Linked DNA regions of Cricetulus griseus. The protein of the gene in region 1 interacts with the protein of each later gene in a biochemical or structural test. Links are inferred from orthologs where the notes say so. Each region holds a gene or a part of one and is shown in the gene's direction. Other genes may lie near its edges. The genes, in order: Areg and S100a4.

Region 1 (4,267 bases):
TCCCGTTGGTGTTTCTCTGAGTTGGTCTTTTCTGCTAGTCCTCAAACAGGCCTCAAGCCTGATCTGTAGCCTAGGTGGGCCCCGGGAGTAAAGATCTTCTAGTCTGGATGCTGGAGACACAGACCTATCATCATTAGGGCCCCCTCTGAGGCTAGAAATCGGGCCTCACTGGATCCTTTTAATCTGAACGGGGGGGCCCACCCACCTACATCACCATGCATGCCCCCTTTCCCCTCCCATGAAATGTGAAACTTTCTTCTTCCCCTTCTCAAAGACGATTTTAGCTCTGTCTCTATCAGCGTGGCAAGAGACAGATTTCAGAGCCAAACTAAACTGAAGCAAAGCTACGTGGAGTGCGTGCAGCTGTCAATCCACTCTCTCTGCTTTTTTACATCTACCTTTTTATTTGCCTGTAAAAAGGAGGAGTATAGGACCCCAGCAAGGTGTTAGTGAGACCCTGGAGGAAAGAAATTTTGTTTGGGTTTCGGTTTTGTTCTATAGCCCAGCTTGACTTCTCCCTACAATCCTCTATTTCAACCTCCTAAATTCCAGTGTCTGGCCATGCCCAGCTAAAATCTTAAGAACCTAATGTGACACCAAAAGGCCAGCAAGTACTGCTTTGAAAGGCCCTGGGGAGGATGTCTGATTGATACCTGGGCCATTTTGGAGTCTTAAAATTAGAGTCCAGGTGGGACAGGTCCCCAGGCCCTGGAGAGAGTGTTTGATTGATATTTTGGGCCATTTGGAGTCTTTAAGAGCCCAGGTGGGAAAGGGCCCTAGGCTGCCATGCAAACCCGTCACACTCCAGCTCTTGTGGGGATGCTGTGCCTTCTCATTTAGTTAACTAACTTCCTTTATCTTCCTCAAAGTCTTCAGGCTAACCTTGCTAAATCACAGCTGCTCTTAAAGTTCTGTGCCCTAACCTGGGACTTTGCTATTTCATCTCCCTGGCTTGTTATCCTGCTAACATCAACGAATATGCAGAGGTTTTTCAGACCCTGTGGCACTGAGACTCTGGGCTGACAGCTGCTCCTCCCAACTCCAGTTTAGAACAAGAGTGGGAAAATTTATCCCGGCATTGACAGGGCTCCATCCCCACTTCCTCCTGGCTGCTGTCTGTCTGCCCGGTTCTGGGGTAGTAACCTCCTGCCTCCTCCACCCACTGCCGACCCGTGACGTCACGGGCGGTGGCTCCCGCGGGCCTATAAAGCAGCAGGTGCTCACTGCACCGCACCCTCAGTCTGCTCGCTCCTCTCCCTCCTGACACGCGAACACCGCCCCGACATCCCGAGCTGAGCAGGAGGCGCTGGCCGCTCCCGCCGCCCGGAGCCCGGCGGGCTGGGCATCCCTGCGCCAGTGCTTGCCCGCTGCTCCTCGTTCCCGCTGATCCCGCAGCCCAGAGCCCCAGCCGTCGTGTCGCCGCAGAGACCCGGACGCCGCCGGCCCGCGGGACCAATGAGAACTCCGCTGCTGCCGCGGGCGCTCCTGGTGCAGTCGCTGCTGCTTCTTTTAGGCTCAGGTGAGCACCCGCCGCCTCCAGCAGCCACCTGGTCTGTAGCCCCTTAAATGCTGCTGTCCTTTGACGCCCCGAATTTTTTCCGGCTGGCGAACGGATGCCGGTAGTTCGCTCCGCTGAAGTTGCTCTTGCTAAGAAGACAGCAGACAGAGGTCTCTAGCATGCCCCAAGGACCAGGCTGCCCGTGAGAATACCTATACTAAAATCCAGCGGATGGAGACCTACGAGGTCATTTTAGCCCAGGCTTTCCTTTGACAGCTGAGGAACCGAGTCCAGACAGGTGAAATAATTTCCGCAAGAGTAGTTAATCCAAGAGGATTTGAGGAGGTTTCCTTGCCTTCTGTCTCCATCTCTTGTGTCTAGGTATTTTATTTTTACCTTCCTAAAGAGGACTCAAAGTGCCCTAGAGAGAGGCTGAAAGCACCGCTGCCAGTGCTGCTTTGAGATTTAAAAAGAAAAAAATAAAAAGGAAAAGAGACAAAATCATAAAAGAATAGAAAAGGCAAGGACTGGAACTCAGAACTCTCCAAAAGTTACCAGGTGCTCTCAACTTTTTCTCTGTGCTAATAATAATCATAATAATAATGGATAAAGATAGTAACAGTCCTTGCTGTTAGGCACCATTGTACTACCTTTAACATTTTATGTACAGATTCAACAGGCATAATCAAGTGTTAAAATGGATCCCCACATGCAGCATCAGCTAAAAGGAGGCAGGAGAGCATGGGCAGAAAGGCACGCACGTCAGACCTGCACTAAGAGCCTATTAGACATTGCCTGTTATGTGATTCTACTGGACTGACTTGGCAGGGCTTTTTAAATTGTGGAAATTATTGTAGGCTATCTGTGGAAAAGAAAACCCAGATAAAAGAAACTCTGTAATTGGAGCGGCTGAGTTTGCCTCTTGGCAAACTGTGAAGTTGCTTTCATTAGTGACTCAGTCAGAAAAACAATAGCACACGTGCAGTGCAATAGCTGCTTTGATAGGAGGAGACAAGTCTCCCAGCACTGCTCACACAGTGACACAAAAGCCCCTAGACTCAAGGCCTCTTATTCTCTCCCTGCAGGCCATTATGCAGCTGGGTTGGACCTGAATGATACCACCTCTGGGAAAATTCCAGCATTTTCTGGGCACCACAATGCCACTGGACTTGTGGTTTCTGCGGGAAGTGAGGTCTCTACCATAAGTGAAATGCCCTCTGGCAGTGAACTCTCCACAGGGGACTATGACTACTCAGAAGAATATGATAATGAGCCACAAATATCCGGCTATGTTATAGATGATTCAGTCAGAGGTAAGTGGAGGAGACCGGAAAAATTCTGTGTATGAGATGTGGTTTGATCTTAGCAATGTGGCTTCAGAAAAAACATCGCTTTTCCGAGTTTTCTAATTGCTTTATAGGTGTGGCTATTGCATATCCTTTAAAGAAGTATTGTAGATTGCATCCTATACGTCTAAGGCATTAATCAAAGTCTTTATAATTCTGGTAAACAGAAATTATTATTCTCATTTTACACAATAACTGAAGCTCAGAAAGGTTACGTGGCTCAGGGAGCAAGCAGTTGAGTCAGAATTAGAACCTCAATCTGCTTGATTCCAGGGACTATGTTCTTTTCCAGGTGTGCCACATGACCTCCATTCTGAGAGCAGAGGTAGTCATTAACAGTTCCTGTGGGCCTTGTAGCTCAACACTTGTATCCCCTCCCCCATACTACTGTGTTCAAATAACAAGCATTTTAACACAAATAAGGGAACAGAAGAAAAACTGACAGACCTCTAGAAATGTTAAAGAAACACAAGTATGTGTATATTTTATTTTTATCCAAACTAGTGACCCCCTTTTCTCTCTTTTGCTCTTACCAAACAGACCTTTTAAAAATACCTTTCTTTTACATGAGAGAGAGATAAAAGCTCCCTACCTTCATTTTACTTTGTATTTTGAGGGAAGAAGAGACTATCGATAAGTCAGGTCTAGAACTGTCTACCCTAGAGGAAGGATAAGGGGATTCCAGAGTTCTTTAAGTTCTTTTAAGACTTTCATAGAAGATTTTCCTCCTCCTCTGCTTCCCCTCCCCCTCCTCCTTCCCCTCCTTTAGAGTCTCCCAGAACTGAAGAATAGTGAGTGAGTGTCCTAATACAGGGACAGGGACTGGGCAAGTGACAGGAGGGATAAACCTCAATGACCATTCTACTTTGGTGCCTTGCTTCTAATTGTTTTGTTTGTTTGTTTTGATATATGTCATGAGAAAGGGGATTAGATTAGACCATTGGGTGTCCAGGACTTATGATATTAACACATTCAGAGGGCAAATCAATTCCTAGCAGAGCAAGTGACCAATATTTAGAATTGCAGCTCAGTGTATAAAGCTGAAACTGTTGGTTGAGCTCATTTGAAAGTCTGTTTGCTTAAATGCCCATGGGTGTTCTGTCTGTTGCGACACTTCAGCACAGTGACTATTATTTGGCTTGGACTTCTAATCTACCTGATGAAGTATAGTGATATTCATTTAAGACTGTTCTCCTAGAGGGCTTTTTCTAACTTGCACTTCTTAATGACCAGAAGAAAGTTTTTGTATAAACACTGCATGGTCACCTAGTTAACATTACTCCTAATTTAGCTTTTATTAATGCACTCAAAGTAAGCTACTAAAACAAAACATAAACAAAAACAAAAAACCCTACTATCATTTCCTTGAGATGCTGTCTTTTACACCCCTGTTAGCCTTCTACTAACATTTCTGTTGTGTTCC
Region 2 (4,244 bases), on another chromosome or scaffold:
TGTGGTATCCTTTCAGTCGGGGCTTGCCAGGTCCCTGATGTGCTAACCCTGGCTACTCATGCACAGTAGAAGCTTTCCTAGGGATGTCAAAGTAGTGAGGGGTGGAACAGTAGCTTCTCTTCTTGGAAGGGAGAACATTTGCTCTCTCACTTTGGAGGCTCAGCCATGTGCACACTGTGGCAGGGGCCTGCTCAACTCCTAATAAAGAAATGTCAGCTTGGCTTGGTTTGGTTCTTCTGATGGGACACACTGGATTTTGGGACTGAGTCCTTGGGAGTCTTTACCCCTCTATGTTCCATATCGCTGGAGGAAGGCAGCTGAAGGCAGGGGCCCTAAAGGCAGTTCCAGACCCCATAGGAATGCATAAGTCTCAGTATTCAGTAGGAAGGTGGGGCCATTACAAGTCCCCATCAGGTGAGGCTGGGGGTCTTTGTCTCCATCTCTCTGTCCCCTGTCTTGAGGTGGAAGCCCTTGTTTTGGGCTTTCTAGGAGGGCAAGAGGCTCCTTGGGAGAAACTCAGTACTTGTGATTAGAGCATCGAGGTATGTGGGTATGGGTGTGGCATAGCTGTGGGAAACCAGAGAGCAGTAGCAATAGGATTGGGGCCTCTGAGGTATTTGCTGCCAGCCAGGGAGGGAGCCTCTGTATTTACTGCAAGGGGAAAGGGATACTTTGAGTCAGTCCTCATCTCTGAAACCACAGCCCCTGAGGGTCCCAAGTTCCCATTTCTGACCATTGCTCAATCCCCGTATTTGTACCCCATCCTTAGAGATTAATCCTGACTCCCCATTTTACCTGTTTCTCCTGTAACTCTCTTCTCCAAGCTGAGTGTTCAAACCTGAATGCTCCCATCAGCCCCAATACCCTCCCTGGACCTTCTACCCATTCATGAACCTCGAGGCCTCATTACTGCCCTAACTCCATCACGCCCTCTTAGGCGTTTCCCACTTAATACCTAGGGTGGTACCAAGGCCCCTCCCGACTTGCCAGTCTTCACTCTGGGTCTTACTGAGCGTGACAGAGAGCTGTTTAGGCTGGAGAGAAGGGCTGACTGTCCCACTGGCCGGGGTCACCTCCCCAATTCCTGGGCCATACATTTCCATATTCCCCTCTTGCCCATCACCTCCCCATCTTCTTTCCTGTGGCCCACATCCCATGCCCATGTTGCCCCTTCTCAAAGCTTCCTTAAAAGTTGGCTGAGCTGTGGCTACTGGGTGGTATCCACACCATTCAGGTCTCTCGTGTCCACTGGGGCTTACTCAATGCTCGCCTGTGCCTGCTGGGTAGTAGGAAGCTTGGTTCTCAGGTTGGGCTGGTGGAGGGGCCTGTGACATTTACTACATCAGCCAACAGTAGGAACATAGTATCCAAGCTCCCCCCATCCCCTGCATGGGCAGGGCCCAGCAGAGTATAAATAGGGCAGACATTTGAGCTTTCCCCAAACCTCTCTGTTCAGCACTTCCTCTCTCTGGGTCTGGTGAGTTGTGTTGGCTTCATAGCAGTATTAGTGGTGTCAGAGGCTGAGGCTGGGACAGGAGAAAGGGAGGCTTCTGGGGAGACAGATGTTTTTACTAGATCCAGATGAGAGATTCTGATGTGGAGGCTGTGTGTGTGTGTGTGTGTGTGTGTGTGTGTGTGTGTGTGTGTGTGTGTGTGTGTCTGTGTGTCTGTGTGTCTGTGTGTCTGTGTGTGTCTGTGTGTGTTGCACAAGAATGAAAACAGCAACAAAAAGGTGTATAGATGCCATTTGAGCTCTCAAGATTTCTAAGATGCTGAGGCTTACACGTGTTGTTGCTACAGTGTACATCTGTGTTTGGGAGCCATGGATAGGTACCCTGATGGGTGTTTGCTGGGTCATTCAAGCCAGTGTGTGCGGGAAAGCAGGTGCAGGAAGCAAAGTGAGGGAACATGTAGGCTTTCTTCTTAACGTTTAAACTTCAGTTATTTATTTGTGTGCATGCATGCGTGGGTTGGGGATGGGGGGCTCATGCCAAGGTGCACTTGTGGAGGTAAGAGGGCAACTTGTGGGAGGGAGTCAGTCTGCTCCTTCTACCATGGGCTCTGGGGATCAAACTCAGGCCATCAAGCTTAGTGGCAGGCACCTCTACTTACAGGCTACCACTCCAGCACTCACCTGTAGACTTCTGTGTTCATATTAGTGCCTTATGGACATCCAGCACCCCAGGTCAAGAGAGCCTGGCTTCCCCACCCTCCCCTTGTGCCCCTACCTCTGCCACCTCATCTCACTCCTCACTAAGCTGGTCAATAGGCAGCTGGGTTTTTTCCGCTGTGGGCCCATGGGCAGGCAGCCAGCAGCCGCGCCCAATGCTGGGAGGGGGAAGAACGGGCCAGAGCCTGGTGCTTGTGGTTGAGCTGAGCAAGGACGGAAAACTGCTGTTGTTGAGGCCAGGCCCGAGGACAGTCAGCCCAAAAGCTGCTGGCACGAATCTCCAGAGATTGTATGGTAGGCTCTGCATGTTTCAGAGCCCAAAGCATACACGACCATCTTGCCATTAGTGGGTCCCACTCCTCTGATCTCTCTGGGAATGAGGACAGTCTCCTGAAGTGTTCCTAGAGGGTAGGTTGGAATGGAGCATTTAAAATGGGGGCAGAATGAGTCTATGACTTGGGTGATGAGCAGTGCCACATAGCCAGTTCTTGATACACTGTTGGTGTGGGTTGGGTAAGGCTACCTTTGTGTCTCCTGCCCCTAGCTCTCAACTGTCACCATGGAATACCCCTTAGAAGAGGCCCTGGATATGATGGTGTCTACCTTCCACAAATACTCAGGCAAAGAGGGTGATAAGTTCAAGCTCAACAAGTCTGAGCTGAAGGAGCTGCTGACCAGGGAGCTGCCTAGCTTTTTGGGGGTGAGTGGGTCCTGCCTGTGTATTTCATGTGTGGTGCATCCCCAGGAGGAGGTTGGGACTCTGGTAGGTAGTGCCTAGCTACAGTTGGCGTATATCTCTAAGGTGGGGAAATGGAGGTTGGAGAGCTTGCTCCGGGTGCTTGGTGTGGAACCACAGTGAACCATCTATCCCTCATTAGCCCTCAGCTGAGAGAAGGCTTAGAATGAACACAACCGAAGAGACAGAGAAAAAGCAAAACAACTGCCTAACATAGTCAGTGTCTGAACTGCAGGCTAGATCAGGACTGTTGGCAAGAGAAATTGAGTTTCTGTTTGTGAAGACACGATGGTGGAGGCACACAAACACCTGCAGAGTCTCTCCTCAATAACACCTTGCATTAGTTAATTTAATGCATCACTGCCATGGCTGCTACCTAATGAGATAATTAAAGCAAACAAGGAGAAGATGTGGTCCTCCCCGTTCCCAGCTACCTCAAGTGCCCGCATCTAGGGCACATCCTCCTCTACATAGCTTAGTCCCAAGGCTTCCTGAGTGCCCAGAGGCACTCAGGTGTTCCTGAACACCTGGCTGGAGGCAGAGATCTAGCTTGGGTCTGGCTTCTAACTGTTCTTCTTCTACTCCCAGAAAAAGAGAGATGAAGCAGGATTCCAGAAGCTGATGAGCAACCTGGACAGCAACAGGGATAACGAAGTAGACTTCCAGGAGTACTGCGTCTTCCTGTCCTGCATTGCCATGATGTGCAATGAATTCTTTGAAGGCTGCCCAGATAAACAGCCCCGGAAGAAGTGAAGACTCTGCAGATGAAGTGTGGGGGCGTGGTCTTCGGGAGGAGGGGGCTCTTCCCTTTTGGCTCTGAGCATAGTGCCTTACTCTGGCTTCTTCATACATATGCACAATGCTGAGCGAGTTCAATAAAGAGTCTTGAAACTATGTGCTGTTGCCTAAGAGACTGGAGATTGTGGGTTGGGTGTTGAGGGAGGGTATATCACAGGGTAGTGGTGGGGACTGCGGGGAGTTGAGCTGGGAGTTGAGCCTTGAGGGAACAAAACTAGAAAGGGTTGGGTAGGGGTTGAGTGGCTGATTTAACTAGCATGCAAGTGTGTGTGTGTGTGTGTGTGTGTGTGTGCGCGCACATACGTGCAACAAAGAAAACTTTGGGAATACTTAAGGCAGAAGCCACCAGAGGCTTGGCTTGAAAGGCTCCAGATGTGGGAAGTTAGCCAGTCCACCACCCTCCTTTCTCTCTCCAGATCTGCCTCTGGGCTCAAACTGAAGTTGGGATGGGATTGAAGGTCACATCTGTTGCTGGTTGGAGTCTGGAGGGAAGACAACGGGCCTGAGTCACAAGGAAGGAGTCCAGAAGGATGGGGAGGT

What was found.
Region 2: the proteins of Areg (region 1) and S100a4 form a complex in vitro, tested with the Homo sapiens proteins (2 studies listed by IntAct, with this or other methods). The link is inferred for Cricetulus griseus from reciprocal best matches to the Homo sapiens genes AREG and S100A4.

What each region holds. Positions count from the first base shown.
Region 1 is NW_023276807.1:155,908,004-155,912,270, forward strand, and holds the start of Areg (amphiregulin), read left to right. Parts: upstream 1-1,225; 5' UTR 1,226-1,455; coding exon 1,456-1,519; intron 1,520-2,583; coding exon 2,584-2,811; intron 2,812-4,267.
Region 2 is NW_023276806.1:63,942,314-63,946,557, reverse strand, and holds S100a4 (protein S100-A4), read left to right. Parts: upstream 1-1,320; 5' UTR 1,321-1,477; intron 1,478-2,517; exon of another isoform or gene 2,518-2,578; intron 2,579-2,714; 5' UTR 2,715-2,729; coding exon 2,730-2,870; intron 2,871-3,494; coding exon 3,495-3,659; downstream 3,660-4,244. UniProt on the Homo sapiens protein: Calcium-binding protein that plays a role in various cellular processes including motility, angiogenesis, cell differentiation, apoptosis, and autophagy.